3 linked regions of the Arabidopsis thaliana genome follow. The protein of the gene in region 2 interacts with the protein of the main gene of each other region in a pairwise test. Each region holds a gene or a part of one and is shown on either strand. Other genes may lie near its edges.

Evidence for each region. Proteins that work in one complex are often made in the same cells at the same time.
Region 1: the proteins of GLK2 (region 2) and NF-YA9 interact in a two-hybrid assay, tested with the Arabidopsis thaliana proteins (one large-scale study listed by BioGRID).
Region 3: the proteins of GLK2 (region 2) and LOL2 interact in a two-hybrid assay, tested with the Arabidopsis thaliana proteins (one large-scale study listed by BioGRID).

Annotation. Positions count from the first base shown.
Region 1 is NC_003074.8:7,323,697-7,329,432, forward strand, and holds NF-YA9 (nuclear factor Y, subunit A9), read left to right. Parts: upstream 1-2,658; 5' UTR 2,659-2,798; coding exon 2,799-2,801; intron 2,802-3,125; coding exon 3,126-3,390; intron 3,391-3,469; coding exon 3,470-3,558; intron 3,559-3,660; coding exon 3,661-3,735; intron 3,736-4,087; coding exon 4,088-4,252; intron 4,253-4,358; coding exon 4,359-4,673; 3' UTR 4,674-4,885; downstream 4,886-5,736. Other genes in the region: AT3G20898 (uncharacterized protein), read left to right, coding at 100-199, 281-507; AT3G20900 (uncharacterized protein), read right to left, coding at 288-460, 941-974; AT3G20920 (translocation protein-like protein), read right to left, coding at 5,067-5,316, 5,427-5,655.
Region 2 is NC_003076.8:17,795,929-17,802,085, forward strand, and holds GLK2 (GOLDEN2-like 2), read left to right. Parts: upstream 1-2,352; 5' UTR 2,353-2,506; coding exon 2,507-2,953; intron 2,954-3,334; coding exon 3,335-3,475; intron 3,476-3,674; coding exon 3,675-4,010; intron 4,011-4,363; coding exon 4,364-4,453; coding exon of another isoform or gene 4,454-4,498; exon of another isoform or gene 4,499-4,572; coding exon 4,573-4,719; 3' UTR 4,720-4,998; downstream 4,999-6,157. Other genes in the region: CBP20 (CAP-binding protein 20), read right to left, coding at 6,134-6,157.
Region 3 is NC_003075.7:11,486,750-11,491,274, forward strand, and holds LOL2 (lsd one like 2), read left to right. Parts: upstream 1-2,226; 5' UTR 2,227-2,319; coding exon 2,320-2,488; intron 2,489-2,670; coding exon 2,671-2,778; intron 2,779-3,236; coding exon 3,237-3,346; coding exon of another isoform or gene 3,347-3,403; exon of another isoform or gene 3,404-3,470; coding exon 3,471-3,551; 3' UTR 3,552-3,674; downstream 3,675-4,525. Other genes in the region: ENDO5 (endonuclease 5), read left to right, coding at 39-106, 211-284, 368-486. UniProt on the Arabidopsis thaliana protein: Putative zinc finger that may be involved in programmed cell death and defense response.

The sequences.
Region 1 (5,736 bases), on a different chromosome or scaffold from region 2:
TCTTTTTCTCCTATCTTTCTCTCACCTAACCTCGCAAAGAAAAAACCATCTTACTTTCTTTTTTTTTCTCTGAAAAACCTCTTTTGATTAGGTTTAAAGATGGCATCAAAAAAAGCAAGAAAACCAAACCGAGCCGAAAAGAAACTCACAAGAAGCTGTTTCAAGAAACAAGTTCCTCAACACAACAACATCAACACAAGTATAACTCTCGATCAAACATCTACATCTACTATTGTCTCTACATGTTCTTCTTCATCAACGACTTTGTCTTCTCCTCTAGACACAATCTACTCTGTTCCCTCTCCATCCCCAGCAGCGGTGCTGACGTCACCAGGCGGTTGTTGTACCCCGAAAGCCAAGAAGTCTAGGATACCGGAGATGCTGACGTGTCCACCGGCGCCGAAGAAGCAAAGGGTCTCGAAAAACTGTGTGTTACGACGGAGACAGATCGTTTTCTTTGCTCCGCCGGAGATAGAGCTCTTCTTCGTCAACGCACACGATCGATGAACGTACTTTTAGTTAATTATTAGTATCTTTTTTTTTTTTGATATAGGATCAATACAGAAAGTAGTATTAGCAGGTGATCAAAATTCATCTCTTTGATTTGTTAATACAATAACGAAGAGTAAATTATTATGTTTTGCGTAATGTTTTTTCTTATTTTGGTTTGTTTGTTTTTGTTATTATTTTTTTCATTATTTTGGCGCTTGTTTTTTGAGATGATTTGAATCAAGTCGGTTTGAGTTTTTGTGGTAGGGTATATCAAAAATCAACTATGATTTACACTATCAATTGATAACCCACCCTTTTATTATTTTATATTTTCTTGCTTCACTTTTTTCTAAGTGCTATGTATTAGGTTGATGACTTTAATTTCTAGCCTACTTAGCTTCGTCAGTTATTGTAACTTTGATGTGGATTGAGTTTTTTTTTTGTTCACCTGATGTTTTGTTCTTCCTCGCTACTTTGTTCATTACCTTTGATCGTTTGTTCATATACCTCGTTCAATTGACAGTTGATAGTAAAAAATTAAGTAATCTGAACTGAAGTAGTATATCTTAGCTAGTCGTTTTTATTTAGAAGTTTTTGATCTTACACATGTATACGATTTTTAAAAGTAAAACTATCAGAGAGAGATTATACAATATTATTTGATTGAGAAACAGTCACCTTTTACGTGGAACTTCGTAATGAGTTTAGGTCCAATAACATTAACACCGCATAGAAACTAGCATAAATTAAGTTTACTAAGTCAATCTTCAGATACTTTATAATATAAAAATAAATTTTATATGATATGTATGTATGCACACATTTCTAATTAAATCATAGAAACCTTTCCTATATCACTAAAAATATTCGAGAAAAAGTAGTTTCTGATATGCCCATTTTTTAATTAATGGTGTATGTTAATGGGCGTTGATAATCAAATCCCACCAAGAGTACTGATTAGGTCAATTTGTTTTTCAAAATCTAGTTTCAAATATTTTAACTTAAGCTTTTTTTTTCATCTTTATATAATATCATATTTAGTAATATTAATTTTCTACATTTTCTTCCTTAATTAAAATCATATTTTAAATCCACTTCTTTTAACTTCAAACATTCCAATTAGTGTTCACTAACTATAGGAATATGAAGATAATGTTATAAAATTAGTGAAAGGAAAGAGACGAGAAATATGAGAAGAGTTAGTGGGGATGGCCGCAGTGTCGAGGCAGAGGATAACATCCGCCAAGGGAATCCAATGAAGCTACTCATGCGGCTTTTCTTATCATTTTCTCTCTCTCTCTCTCTCTCTTTTTTTCACAAAAATTAAAAACACATATTAATCACATCATCGATAATACAGAATTGATTATTCTTTTTTCAACAGAATAAAGAAATGATTCTTAACTATCTATACAAGGGTCAAAGCAATCAAAAGTGTACATGAAGAAGCTCTAGTTATACTAGAAATGTACAAAACAAAACTCAATTAAGCAAACAAGGAATTAGAAGCCAATATGCCCAAATAATCATATTTTTTTAAAGCTAATTGATTTGCTTAAGAAAGGACAATAAATATTTTGAACAAAAAAACAAGAAATGGATAAGAAAGATTTGACAGAAAGAACAAGAAAACACTATGATTGTGATTTTAATTGATTAAACCCGTACAATAGTATCTCAATTCTATATAAAAAAAAGTTTTCAATCACATAATTTTATAAAATTGTGATTTATGTTGAATAATTAGCCATTTCAATGATTTTCTTTAAAAAAATATTTCTATTTCTCTAGTTACATTATACTTTATCACTTTACTCTGCCTATATGTATTATTATTTTTACAATCTTTTTCATTTCTTCAGTACTACTAGCAATCATGCAAGTACTAAAGAGCTGAAAAGCTAAAAATATATAAAACCAAATTAAAGATGTTGAAGAAAGAAAAAAAAGAGGGTAAGCTATTGGGCCTTTATAAGATAGAAGCTTTAATACCCATTATAGGCCCAGGTAAATTAATTACACATACACTCGAATTTTAATATCTACTAAAAAAAAGTTATATGTTGCCGCCGTTCACGTGGACAGCACGTGGCAGCTAAAATTCAAAACGGAACAAAAAATACTTCTTACGACGACGATCAAATACAACAACAACAAAATAATATAATAAAATTCAATTCCATAAATATTTTTTTTTTTGTTCTTTCCTCTGACTGGAAAAAGCTTCCTCAGATCGTTTCATCGTCCAAGCGGAAGAAGCGTCTCCTTCAATCACCGTGGACACCTCCGAGACTGTCTCCGATTGAATGGTATCTCGAAATTTCAGTCATTTATGATTGCATGAACCTGCTTATACCTTTGTTCTAGGGTTTTTGTTGTCTTGTTCCCATCTCTCAATTTTTTTTTTTCAAAGTTGCAAAATTCAAGTTTCGACTTTTTGTTAATTCTGTCTTCTTACGTTTCTGGGTTTTGATTGTTTCTTGTTACTGAAATCCTTTCGTGGAGTATTAAGAGTCAAAATTGCTGAATTTTATTGAAATTCTGTTGTTTTGTGTTGGATGTTTTTGGTCTTGTTTCGATAGAATTGGATTATGTAGTTGTAGATTCATCACTAAATATCGGATTTTGAATAGGGAATTGAAGACATGCATTCAAAATCTGACAGTGGTGGGAACAAGGTTGATTCAGAGGTTCATGGTACAGTATCGTCGTCGATAAATAGTTTAAACCCTTGGCATCGTGCTGCTGCTGCTTGCAATGCAAATTCTAGTGTGGAAGCTGGAGATAAATCTTCTAAGTCAATAGCATTAGCATTGGAATCAAACGGTTCCAAATCACCATCCAATAGAGATAATACTGTTAACAAGGAATCACAAGTCACAACGTCTCCACAATCAGGTGCATTACGCTTGCGGATTTGCTTACTGTTGTGTTTAATACTCTTAACCAAGTGTTGTTGGTTTATTTCGATATGCAGCTGGAGATTATAGTGATAAAAACCAAGAATCTCTGCATCATGGCATCACACAACCTCCTCCTCACCCTCAACTTGTTGGCCACACAGTTGTAACTTCCCAATATAGATATATTGTTCTTATCATTTCCTTTGGGAAAATTTTAGCTATGGTTGCTTACAATTTAGTTTTTTCCCGGTTATGAATCATGCAGGGATGGGCATCCTCAAATCCATACCAGGATCCATATTATGCAGGAGTGATGGGAGCCTATGGACATCATCCCCTGGTATATGACTATTTCCAAACTATTTACAAGTTTTCCTAAAGCCTCAACTGATTATCTCTGTTAAGACGATTTAACCATGTGACATGTCTACCATGATTCATGATTGCTATTGGGTTGCGAAACATGAGATTGCATGTTTAAATATTCTATTAGCTGTAGGTGCTTTGTGAAGTCTAGCATGATTATAATTGTCTAACAGTGTTCCTGATAGATAGATGAATTATGATTTATAGCAGCAGTTTATTGAAGATATTGAGAAGATGTATTTAGTTCACGACAGGAATTTTTAGGCTCTTCTTATCTATTTAGCATCTATGTGACTTTATAATAAATAACACATTTAACCTATCAGGGGTTTGTTCCATATGGTGGGATGCCTCATTCAAGAATGCCACTGCCGCCTGAGATGGCACAAGAACCAGTTTTCGTGAATGCTAAACAGTACCAGGCGATTCTGAGGCGAAGGCAGGCACGCGCCAAGGCAGAGCTAGAGAAGAAGCTAATAAAATCCAGAAAGGTGCATTGCGTGTTACCATGTATATTAGTTTCTTGAGAGGTCTGATCTAACTGTGAACGCATCACACTGCTTAATGCATCTCTTTCTTTGTTTGCATGGTCCACAGCCTTATCTACATGAATCTCGGCATCAACATGCTATGAGGAGGCCAAGGGGTACTGGAGGACGGTTTGCAAAGAAAACCAACACCGAAGCTTCAAAGCGTAAAGCTGAAGAAAAGAGCAATGGTCATGTTACTCAGTCCCCGTCATCATCTAATTCTGATCAAGGTGAAGCTTGGAATGGTGACTATAGAACACCTCAGGGAGATGAGATGCAGAGCTCAGCTTATAAGAGAAGGGAAGAAGGAGAGTGTTCAGGGCAGCAATGGAACAGCCTTTCCTCAAACCATCCTTCTCAAGCTCGTCTAGCCATTAAATGACCTCACAAGGCGGCAATTCATTCTTGGCTTTCTCTTTGTTGGCTTATTCGGTAGCAGCCATGAAAGAGTATTTTCTCTCGTTTTTTTTTCTTCTGATTTTGTACAAATACTTTTTGTAGCTTTTTGTGACTTTTTCCCTTTCAGTTTGGAATACTTCAGATGTTGCCACTTTTCTTTTTCAATTCTATCTTAACTAAACATTTCTTAGCTGGAATTGAAGTTTGGAATACAAAACTGTGATTGAGAGCTAAATTCCAGATTGTGTCAAAATGTAAAGGAGTAATGGAGTACCACAAAATCTTTCAAGACTTTCTTATAAAGAACTCACCTCGTCTTGGTCACTTAAGTTGACTTATTGTTACAATGAACTTTCGTTTCTATATTTTGGTTTTTTTATGTTTTAAGATCAGAGTCAGTCCAACCTTCAGCTTCCTCCTTGCCTTGCGTTTCGTCTAGGTCCTCGCCTTGAGTTTCATCTAGGTCGACCTCTTCAGTCTGGTCGGGACCTCCTGCTGAATCTGAGGAGTTGTTTGCCGCATCTGTGATGTTTACAGGTTGCTGATTCTCCATCAAACCAGAAAGTGCTAGCTTTGGTGACCACTCAAGGACATCATCAATGATGTTGGACATCCTTCTTTGGTACCTGTATGAACAAAACTCATCACAATTCAACCTCTACTGCACTAAATTCAAATGAGTAGAGTACAATTAGTTTAAGCGATATTTAAAGGTGGACGAGAAGGCAGTGTATACCTGGCCCGAGCAGCTTCATCAGGGGCATGACGCCTAAGCAGCATGACAACAACAATAGCCACTACTGTGTAGAAAAGTCGAGATGTCCACTTGGGCGGTTCTTCCTCGTCTTTCTTTGGCCAGAAACGGAACAGTTCCTTCAATGTGGCTTCCTCAGCTAGAATGTTGGGGAAGAACCAGACACGCTTTCCCAAAAGAATCCACATAGCACCGAAAGCAACTGCTCTCACTGCAAGAGGTAATCAAGAAGGACTAATCTCAGTATAAGCCAAGTTAAAACTACATGAGTATATGACCCCCTTCAGTTTAG
Region 2 (6,157 bases):
CTTTATTTTGAAGTGCCTAGAACACTAGTCTTCTTCTTTTCATGGTTACGAAAATGTTTACAGAAAATCATGGATGATTCAAGAAAATAGACCACTTTTTGAGATACTTTTCCGTAAACCCTAAGTATATCCATAATATCTCTACATTGACCAATGACAAATAGTAGTTTAGATATTGATGGACTTATGGGAGCTAGTTTTTATTATTAACTAGATTTTAACCCGCGGTATACCGCGGGACGATTTATTTTTAAAAGTAATATATATTAAAACTTGCAAATTTTATTTTTACAAAATATTTATATTTTACAGTTTATAATTGTTATTAAGTAACGCTATACCACGAATTCATGAGACAATTGTTAAAAAAACTGAAGTTTTGACCCCTATTAAAACAGCATATTAATAATATTTTAAAATTTTATAAATATTGATTCAAATACATCCACCATATAACCCAATTCCAAAATAAAACACGTTCTGTAATTTCTTTACCCGTCCCATGATTATTTTTTTAAGTAGTAATTTTTAAAATTTTAGAATTATTTTTATATATAAAAGTTTTGCAAATTGTATCATTCTCTAATACATTTATATTTTATAGTTTAAATTAAATTAATTAAAATTTAGATATCAAATCTTATAAGTTGATTTTGATTGGCTATTATTTTTAAAAATTAATAATGTATTTCGTTTTTAATTAATTAAATTAATTAAATTAGTATTTGACTTTTTAATCCTTAAAGAGATAAATTAATTTACTCTTTAAAATTTTATTTCTAATGGCATACCTATGTAATTACTTACAAAAATTAAGGTTACATTTAAAATGTACTTCCCAAATAATATAGTAGGATAAATTGTTTTATCTATGATTTATGAATATCCACATCAGTTCTGTAAAAAATAAAACTAAAAGAAAAACCAAGGAGAAAACAAATCGCCTTGTAAAAAACCGTTTTTGATAAATGTAACATTTAGGTTTTGTGTTAGTTAAGATCCGAAACAAGACAAATCTTATACACGCCATAATCCAGTATGTCGAAATCTACACCGTATTAATTATTGCTACTATGAACAACCATTCTATCCGATCATAGACTTTACTCTTATTTGTCGTTATTATCATAAAATGTCGTTTAAATAAATTATTTGTAGGATACCAATTCTTTAATTATATTAGTTCAAACACGTATAATTTTGGTGGTTTTTGAGGATGAATATCATCAAAGATAAATGCATTTTGGTGAAATAAATAATCAAATAATTATTTTAAATTATCTTTATGCACCACTATTTTTAATAAATTGGACTCTTACAACGTTTTCCTTAAAAAAAATCATGGATCTTAAAACTTATACCCAAACAAATATGTAGAAAATTATTATTATATATATAAATATATATATATATATATAAGCTATACAAAATCTTATTATATAGTAGTAGCGCTTGATTCTAAAATAGCATAATTAGACGAAAAAGCATGCATTTTGTAACATTTTATACTTTGTAAGTAAAACACATAAAAAATAATTTTATGAATAAGAAATCCACATAAAAAAAAAAAGAAGTAACATACTGTGAAAAATTAGGAAACTTTTTGAGGCACCAATTTTTTATGCCACTTTCAAAAAAGCATTAATGAAAATTTGTTTAAAATATCATTTTAAAATTTGACGTACAAAAGTACAAAACCTCATACAATTTCAAAACTTTACAAAGACTCAATAACATGTGTTATAGAGACTTTATAAACTTTCTTATAACATACTCTATAATTTTTTATATCCATATATTTGTGATATTTTTGAAAATGGATAAAATAAATTTGATATTTTTATAAATAGAAAATATTAATGGTATTTTTGAATTTTTCCCAAAATAATTATTAGTCTTATACTCCAAAATGTAAAAAAAAATCACTTTTTATTAAAAAAATACTTACGCATTTGCTTAATTGCTAGTCGTCAAAGTTTTGTCATTTTATGCAAATACTAAAAAAATGTAGAAAGCATTTCCTCTTTATTTTTGGGACAACCAAGAAAGGAGCATTTCAATAGTGTATACATAGACAAAAATATTTCTCATTTCCTATATTTGACTCTTTAAATCTTTAATAGCTCTTGTAATTTTTTCCATTCATTGTAATACAGCCATAATGTTTAAAAGGAAACTGTCAATTATAAACTTATACTAGAATATAAAATATGGTATTGAATTGAATATTTTCAAAAATAAAATATTAAATTTACGAAAAGAATAAAAAAACTTAAAAATCTCTCTCTCCTATCTCTCAACCACAACTTATTTTTCATGTCAGTATCCACCAACACATATATACGGCATATAAAAGATTTTAATAAAACCTTGGAACTATCTATATCTATTCAGACACACACGTCTATATATATATATACACTCATATACTACTTTCACTGTATCATTCTTGTTTTCTCTAAATTTTTCAAAAAACCTTTAGAATTTTCATTTTTTTACGATTCCGATGTTAACTGTTTCTCCGGCTCCAGTACTCATCGGAAACAACTCAAAGGATACTTACATGGCGGCAGATTTCGCAGATTTTACGACGGAAGACTTGCCGGACTTTACGACGGTCGGGGATTTTTCCGATGATCTTCTTGATGGAATCGATTACTACGACGATCTTTTCATTGGTTTCGATGGAGACGATGTTTTGCCGGATTTGGAGATAGATTCGGAGATTCTTGGGGAATATTCCGGTAGCGGAAGAGATGAGGAACAAGAAATGGAGGGTAACACTTCGACGGCATCGGAGACATCGGAGAGAGACGTTGGTGTGTGTAAGCAAGAGGGTGGTGGTGGTGGTGACGGTGGTTTTAGGGACAAAACGGTGCGTCGAGGCAAACGTAAAGGGAAGAAAAGTAAAGATTGTTTATCCGATGAGAACGATATTAAGAAAAAACCTAAGGTGTGTTTATTTCCCAATTATCCATGTTAGATTAGTTTATTTTTTTTCTTCTTTAAAGGTAAAAAATCCCATTAAGAAATCACCAACCTTTTTAAGGATTTCATTAAAAAAACATAAACTTCTAGTGTTTCTGAATATTTTTTTTACAAAGTTAGTGAATTAGTGTATTTATCATATACACAATTATTATTAAGTTTGATAACTGGAGTAGATCTAGGACCAAAACCAAGTTTTGTGTAGTAGGACTATACAAATTTGTGTGTTTATTTGGACTAAATATTTTTTTTTATAAAACTGTAAGACAATTTTCTATAAAAAAAATGAATTCCTTTTTTTTCTTTTCATTTATTGATTAATTAATATATTGTTCCGGCAAATCAGGTGGATTGGACGCCGGAGTTACACCGGAAATTTGTACAAGCGGTGGAGCAATTAGGGGTAGACAAGGCGGTGCCGTCTCGAATCTTGGAAATTATGAACGTTAAATCTCTCACTCGTCACAACGTTGCTAGCCATCTTCAGGTAAATTTTAGACTAAAACTATACAAACTAATTTTAACAGGAATTAATCAAGTGCTATAACCCCTAACATAGTAATTACCTAATTTATAGATTACATGTTTTTCCTTCAAAATTTTTTATGAAAAGACAAGTAAAATACTAACCAACTCAGATTTGTGTAATAAGATTAATTTGTGTTGTGTTCTTCTTGTAATGATAGAAATATAGGTCACATCGGAAACATCTACTAGCGCGTGAAGCAGAAGCTGCCAGCTGGAATCTCCGGAGACATGCCACGGTGGCAGTGCCCGGAGTAGGAGGAGGAGGGAAGAAGCCGTGGACAGCTCCTGCCTTAGGCTATCCTCCACACGTGGCACCAATGCATCATGGTCACTTCAGGCCTTTGCACGTATGGGGTCATCCTACGTGGCCAAAACACAAGCCTAATACTCCGGCGTCTGCTCATCGGACGTATCCAATGCCGGCCATTGCGGCGGCTCCGGCATCTTGGCCAGGTCATCCACCGTACTGGCATCAGCAACCACTCTATCCACAGGTAATAATAATTCATTTGTAAAAATGTTACATGTTTTTCCATTATTAGTTGTATGGTTAAATCATGAAAAATAATCGAAATGACATAACTAAATCAGCTTTGTTGAACAATCATGACACTGCAAAAAGCTAGTCTTTGTACACTATTGGCTTTTTAACACATGCAACATATATAAGTATAAAACGGAATCATTGAATTAGATTGTGGTTTTGTCTAACAACGCAATTAGTAAAAGATTGCAAGATCATGAATCATTTTTATGTAGACAACTAATAAAGATTTAGAGCTATGAATTATGTATGGATTTTACAAAAACATATTTCTAATCATGGTTTATGTGTATATATGTGTAGGGATATGGTATGGCATCATCGAATCATTCAAGCATCGGTGTTCCCACAAGACAATTAGGACCCACTAATCCTCCCATCGACATTCATCCCGTGAGTGCACCTTTTTTGGTTTCAATTTTGTTTATTAGATTTTGATTATGACATAACCCAAAAAAGTTTTCGAATAAATTTTGGATAATTAACAATATTTCATTACTTGACGGTTGCAGTCGAATGAGAGCATAGATGCAGCTATTGGGGACGTTATATCAAAGCCGTGGCTGCCGCTTCCTTTGGGACTGAAACCGCCGTCGGTTGACGGTGTTATGACGGAGTTACAACGTCAAGGAGTTTCTAATGTTCCTCCTCTTCCTTGAGAAAGATCTCCAAAATTTGTCGAAATCTCAAACTTTTAACTTCATTTTTTTGGTATCTTCTATGTATTTTTGCAAGGGAAAGACGATAAATCCTTGTTGCTTGATCATATGTATTTCTCTATATGAGTGCATGTATCGAAGTTAAGCAACTTTAATATATCGTTATAATCTTCGATAGCAGAATCTGTAATTTTTATTAACTTTCAACTCCCGAAGCATCATTGCAAAATGACTAAATGCAACACTTTTTGGGGTTAAAAATGCTTAACATTTTAAAACATTACTATCATTTATTCAATCAACAATTTATAGTTTTATACAATTGAAAACTAGACGGGATATATATCGCATGTGTTTTTTCAATGGCTTATTTTGTTTTATAATGCCAACTTTCACAGCTATGGATTGTGACTATTTATAATTTCAAAGAAGTCAAATATTTTTAAAACTCAATTAAAGTCCATAAAAAAATTTGCAATTGATAATGTTAACATATCGTGGCAAAAAAAAAAAAAAAGTACAACACATAATTGGAGTTTAGATATACGAATATTCTTTTAATTGGTTCCATGTAAAAAACTTAATTCAAACGGATTCGATTGGTGACACAAAATGGTAAAAACAAAAAAGCGGAAAAAGTTTTAAAAATACTAGAATAGTTGAAAGAAGTAAAAAAAATACAGGTACAAAAAATACAATAGTACAAAAAAATACTAGAATAGTTGTAGATATACTTTTGTGTTTAGTAAACTATTAAAGCATTAAATATTGTACCATGCGATAGAGATTACCAATCAAAAGCCAAAGTGATGATGCAGAATAAGTTAATAACAATTACTTTGGGGTAAGAAGTTTAAATTACTCTTGAATGTAGAAGGCATGAAAGTGGCATGTTTGATGGATTGTGTTTGTCGAGCATTGTGCAGACGCAGCTCAATAACGTTAATTTATATACATTCAACTCTTGAAAGACATTGAAGCTGTATCTTTGGCTTTGACACACTAGCAGCTCTCGATGGAGTTATGCGTGATCTAGTTAGTTACTATATCTCATTCTCCATCAGATAAATGTAAGTTCGTATAATACTTTTTCGGAAGCTTCTAATGCATAAAGGAGCTGTATTTGGACAAATACTTTGAGAAATGTAAGAAGCGTACAATGTGATGAGAAAGAATGATACAAAGTGATTAGTGAGTACTATGGAGGGCCTTCACTCGGCTACTTTAGCCCAATAGACTAGTAATGACATATCAGTTGATCAAGGAGCAAAAGTTAATGAGGACACTGATATTGAACGAAACCACTTAAGAAAGGTTGTAATGAAAATCTAGAAAACCCAAACTGAGTTCAGACTCATCAATCTAAAGATTACATTGACCATTCAGCAACATTGACAACTTCTAAAGTTTTGTTTTAAGATCTTCTCTTCCGATCATC
Region 3 (4,525 bases), on a different chromosome or scaffold from region 2:
TACATTGAGTGTTTGTTGTTACGTCTGTCTTAATATAGAACGGCTGGTCGAATGATGTTCCGTCGTGGAAGTCATGTCACTTTCACCAAAAGGCCTGTCCAAATCTGTAAGCAAGCATCTATATATCTGTTAAGTTGCTTAATAGCAGAGAAAACTTAGTTTTCGTTACCATATCATTGTTGATTCTCTTTGTTCTTTGATGTGTTAAAGGTATGCTTCTGAAAGCATTGATCTCGCCTGCAAGTATGCTTACAGGAACGCTACTCCGGGGACTACTTTAGGAGGTATACTTACTCTATGAAACCAGATCGTGGCTTTTTGTTTTCTTTAATCATGGACATGACTTGATCTTCTGCTTTCTCTGCAGATGAGTATTTCCTTTCTCGGTTACCCGTTGTAGAGAAGAGACTTGCACAAGGTGGGATTCGCTTGGCAGCTACTCTTAATCGTATCTTTTCTGCAAAACCGAAGCTCGCAGGATTATGAATCTAAGAAAAAGATCCTTGAGAACCCACGTAACAACTCCTTTTAAGTGTTTTTTATAACACTGTGAATGGTTGAGTCATGACTAATGAGTGAACCTCCAAAATCTTCATGCAAAAATTTGTTATTTTGGGACATGGTTCAAACTTCCAATAACAAACCACACTAACGGATAACACTTTGCATTTTTTTTGTTTGTTTTCAGTTTTGTTAATTAGTATCCTTCTTCTTATCTTATGAAAAAGGTAAGTTAACATAAAGGAGTAAAATAGAAAAAGAAGTTAGATTTCCTCATTAGATTAGGAATGATAATTCGCTATATAAAGATTTCAAGTGAGACATAAAAAGCCTAAGCGCAAAACACACAAAAAAGAGTTTCTTACGTGAAAAGCTACTTAAACCCTAAAAGAGAGAGAGAAAAAAAAAGCAAAGCCGACACAGCTAGCGCTCTCGGGTGCACTTCCACAGCAATGAACGGAGAAGAGCCACCTTTTAAAAGAAGACGGATGAATTTTCTTATGCTTCCTGATGATTTGGTTTTAAACTGTTTAATTTGGCCCGCATCTCAAGATAGTACTATCCAACTCTCTCTTTAGTATCCAAGAGATTCCGCTCTATCCTTACTTCAACGGAGCTTTACCAGACCCAAACTCTCTTAGGCCGCACCGAGAGTTGTTTGTACGTGTGCTTAACGCAGATTACATATGACGCTTCTAACCCACAATTAATTTGGTTCACTCTTTGCCGCAAACCAAATAGCTCAAAAAAGATTTTAATCCCAATTTCATATCCTAAATCTGCATCATGGTCGGATAGTGTAGTGGCTGTTGGTCCTAATATCTACGCTATTGGGGGATTCAGTAATAATAGAACTAAACCTTCGTCTAGCGTCATGGTCATGGATTGTCGTACTCACACATGGTGTGAGGCCCCTAGCATGCAGGTTTCCCGTGTGTTCCAATCTACTTGCGTCCTTGATGGGAAAATATATGTAACAGGAGGCCGCGGAACTCTCGATTCAACGAAATGGATGGAGGTTTTTGATACGAAAACCCAAACTTGGGAGTTTTTGCAATTCCCGAGTGAGGAGAAGATATGCACAGGCTATAAGTGTGAGAGCATAGTGTATGAAGGAACTGTCTATGTAAGGTCGTATTTTCATAATGTGACTTACAAGCTGCATAAAGGTAGATGGATAGCGGCAGACTTAGCGATGAATAATGGATGGCGTTGCTCATCATTTTTTTGTGTGATAAAGAACGTGTTCTACTGTTGCAATAGAAGTGGTAACGGTATGATCGATTGGTATGACTCGGAAAAAGGATCATGGACAACTATGAAGGGGTTGGAAAGATTGCCTAAAGTTTATGGTAATGTTAAATTGGCATATTATGGTGGAAAAATGGTGGTGGTGTACGTGGAGTGCTAAGGAGTGGGGTAACGTGAGAAAAATTTGGTGTGCGGAAATTACGATTGAAAAACGCAAGGATGGAGAGATTTGGGGGATACTAGAATGGTTTGACGATGTATATAAAGCCAAGGATGAGCTAGAATATTTAGCTGTAGTGCATGCTGTTGTTACTACCATCTGATTGATAAGAGAGTCATGTGAACATTGTTCATTGATTCACCGATGCAATAACGAATTTATCTACTATCATTTGTTTTGATTTTCTTTCTAAATCTTTTTTGTTTGTTCTTGTATTGAATTTTACCTTACATTTATTAAGAAAGTCAACTATTTGTCAACGTTACTGGAAAGTTAAAAAGGTAAAAGTAATAATAATCTGAGAGTTAACTTTGGACATCTTCGCCGGAGCCGAGACGGAAGGCGTGATGGAAGAGATACAACAACAAACGCAGAAGGAAGAACAAAAGCACCGTGAAGAAGAAGAGGAGGAAGAGGAAGGTCCGCCTCCGGGATGGGAATCTGCAGTTCTTCCTCCTCCAATCGTCACCATCACCGCCGCCGTAAACCCCAATCCCACCACCGTAGAAATTCCCGGTATTCTTGTAGTCTTGTCTATTTTAGGGTTTATCGATTTGCTTCCATTTCTTGCTACAGTCTGATCAAATTAGAGATTTTTAGTGGAGTTTGTAGACTTTTAGAGATAACCCATTTTCGATTCCGAGAATTGATTAGTGTTTTTTTTCTGCAAATCTTCTTTGTTTTTGGGGTTGTTGCAGAAAAGGCCCAAATGGTATGTGGATCTTGCAGGCGTTTGCTTTCTTATCTAAGAGGATCCAAACATGTTAAGTGCTCCTCTTGTCAGACTGTTAATCTCGTTCTTGAAGGTTCGTTCTTCCATGGCTTTTTTATCTCTTATTCATTACTTGAAAAGCTTTTGTTGATAATCTCAGTCACTTGAAACTCTTAATGGAACAATCTTGGAATGCTCTCTCAGTCTAGTTTTACTTAGCATGTGTGAATGATATATCTATGTTCTTTTGAGAATCTCAAAATGTAAGCTTCCTGAGACCAAATGAGTTTAGTTCTTAACTGACACAAGAATGATCTTTGGTTAGGATTCTTCTCTTAAGCTTTTGTGAGCCTTTTGGTCTCTACTCCATCATAATGTCTCCTTTGTAGACCATTTATGTGGTCTTTATCCTTTACTCTTACTACTCTTGGGGAAATTGTGTGATCTTAAGACCAAGATTGTTCTTCTTAGCTTGTGAATCACTTGGCCTCATTATTGATGAAATAGCCTTCTTCTCTTATCGGTTCTGGACTTGTCGTTCTTTGTTTGCAGCTAACCAGGTTGGTCAGGTGAATTGCAACAATTGCAAACTGCTACTGATGTATCCTTATGGAGCTCCAGCTGTTAGATGTTCCTCCTGCAATTCTGTCACAGATATCAGTGTATGTATTCACAGATGGTTTTGTGCTCCATGTCCAAATCATACTTGGAAGAGTTGATACATTTTGAGATCCGAGTAAGTAATCATCTGATGAATCATTTATAATAAACTGTGTTATATTTCAGGAAAACAACAAACGACCTCCATGGTCTGAGCAGCAAGGACCACTCAAAAGTTTAAGCAGTCTCAGGAGAGCAGAGAATTAAACTTGAACCGATTTTTGTCAATTTTGAACCGGTTTGACGACTAAAAACCTTGTAATAATGTCGAAGGATAGATGAAATAAAATCACCATTAATAATCTCATTGAATTCCCATTCTTTCAGATATTACTTGCTCATCATCCTTTACTGTTTTAAGCTTTAGTGGTTAAAAAGAATGTGTATATATCCATACAAAAGTTGATATATGTACTGGACCAATATAAACAAACACAGCTCACAGTCTCACACAATACATAAAAACAAAATTCATATTTCACAGGTGAGAAAAACTAACTAGTAGTCTACTTGGCCGAATTTGTCAATGAATTTCAATAATTAGGTCGTATAAATAGCAAACAAAACATGGACTCTTACCCAACCAAATATGCATAAATAATTTACATTACAGTTTCATATAAAATACAAACTAATGGTGGGTCCTCGAGAGAGCTAACAAGAGCTGTGTGTGGGTGAAGAACCAACTTGTCAACGAAACCAATTTAATGGAAATCAACCCTAAATTTAATGAAACCTTGGACGAAACTTACATTTTGTTAACCAGTTTATCCTTTTAAATCAAACCTGCATAGATTTTGATTTAAGACTTGAAAGTCTTAAATGATATGGTTGGATTGAAATAATGAGTGGGCCTTATAGAACAGATTAAATTATGAACACCACAAGTTTCTTTTTTTGTGCGAGTAATAAAACAGTTGCTTAGAAATTTGTTGTGTTTATAAATAGACACTATTATTAACACACAAATTTTTGAATTTTTGGCAGATGGTTACAGAGAATACCAATTGTGGATTTCATCCAAACTTTAGGTAATTAATCCTTTATTTTTTTTATCATGAACACATCTGTCAAAAGTCCTCCACTATCAAATCTTAATTTAAACTATCTGTCGCTCTTTGAATAACACATGCTTAAATTAAATGTCGCCAACGCCAAGTGCTGCTAAATAAAAATATTTG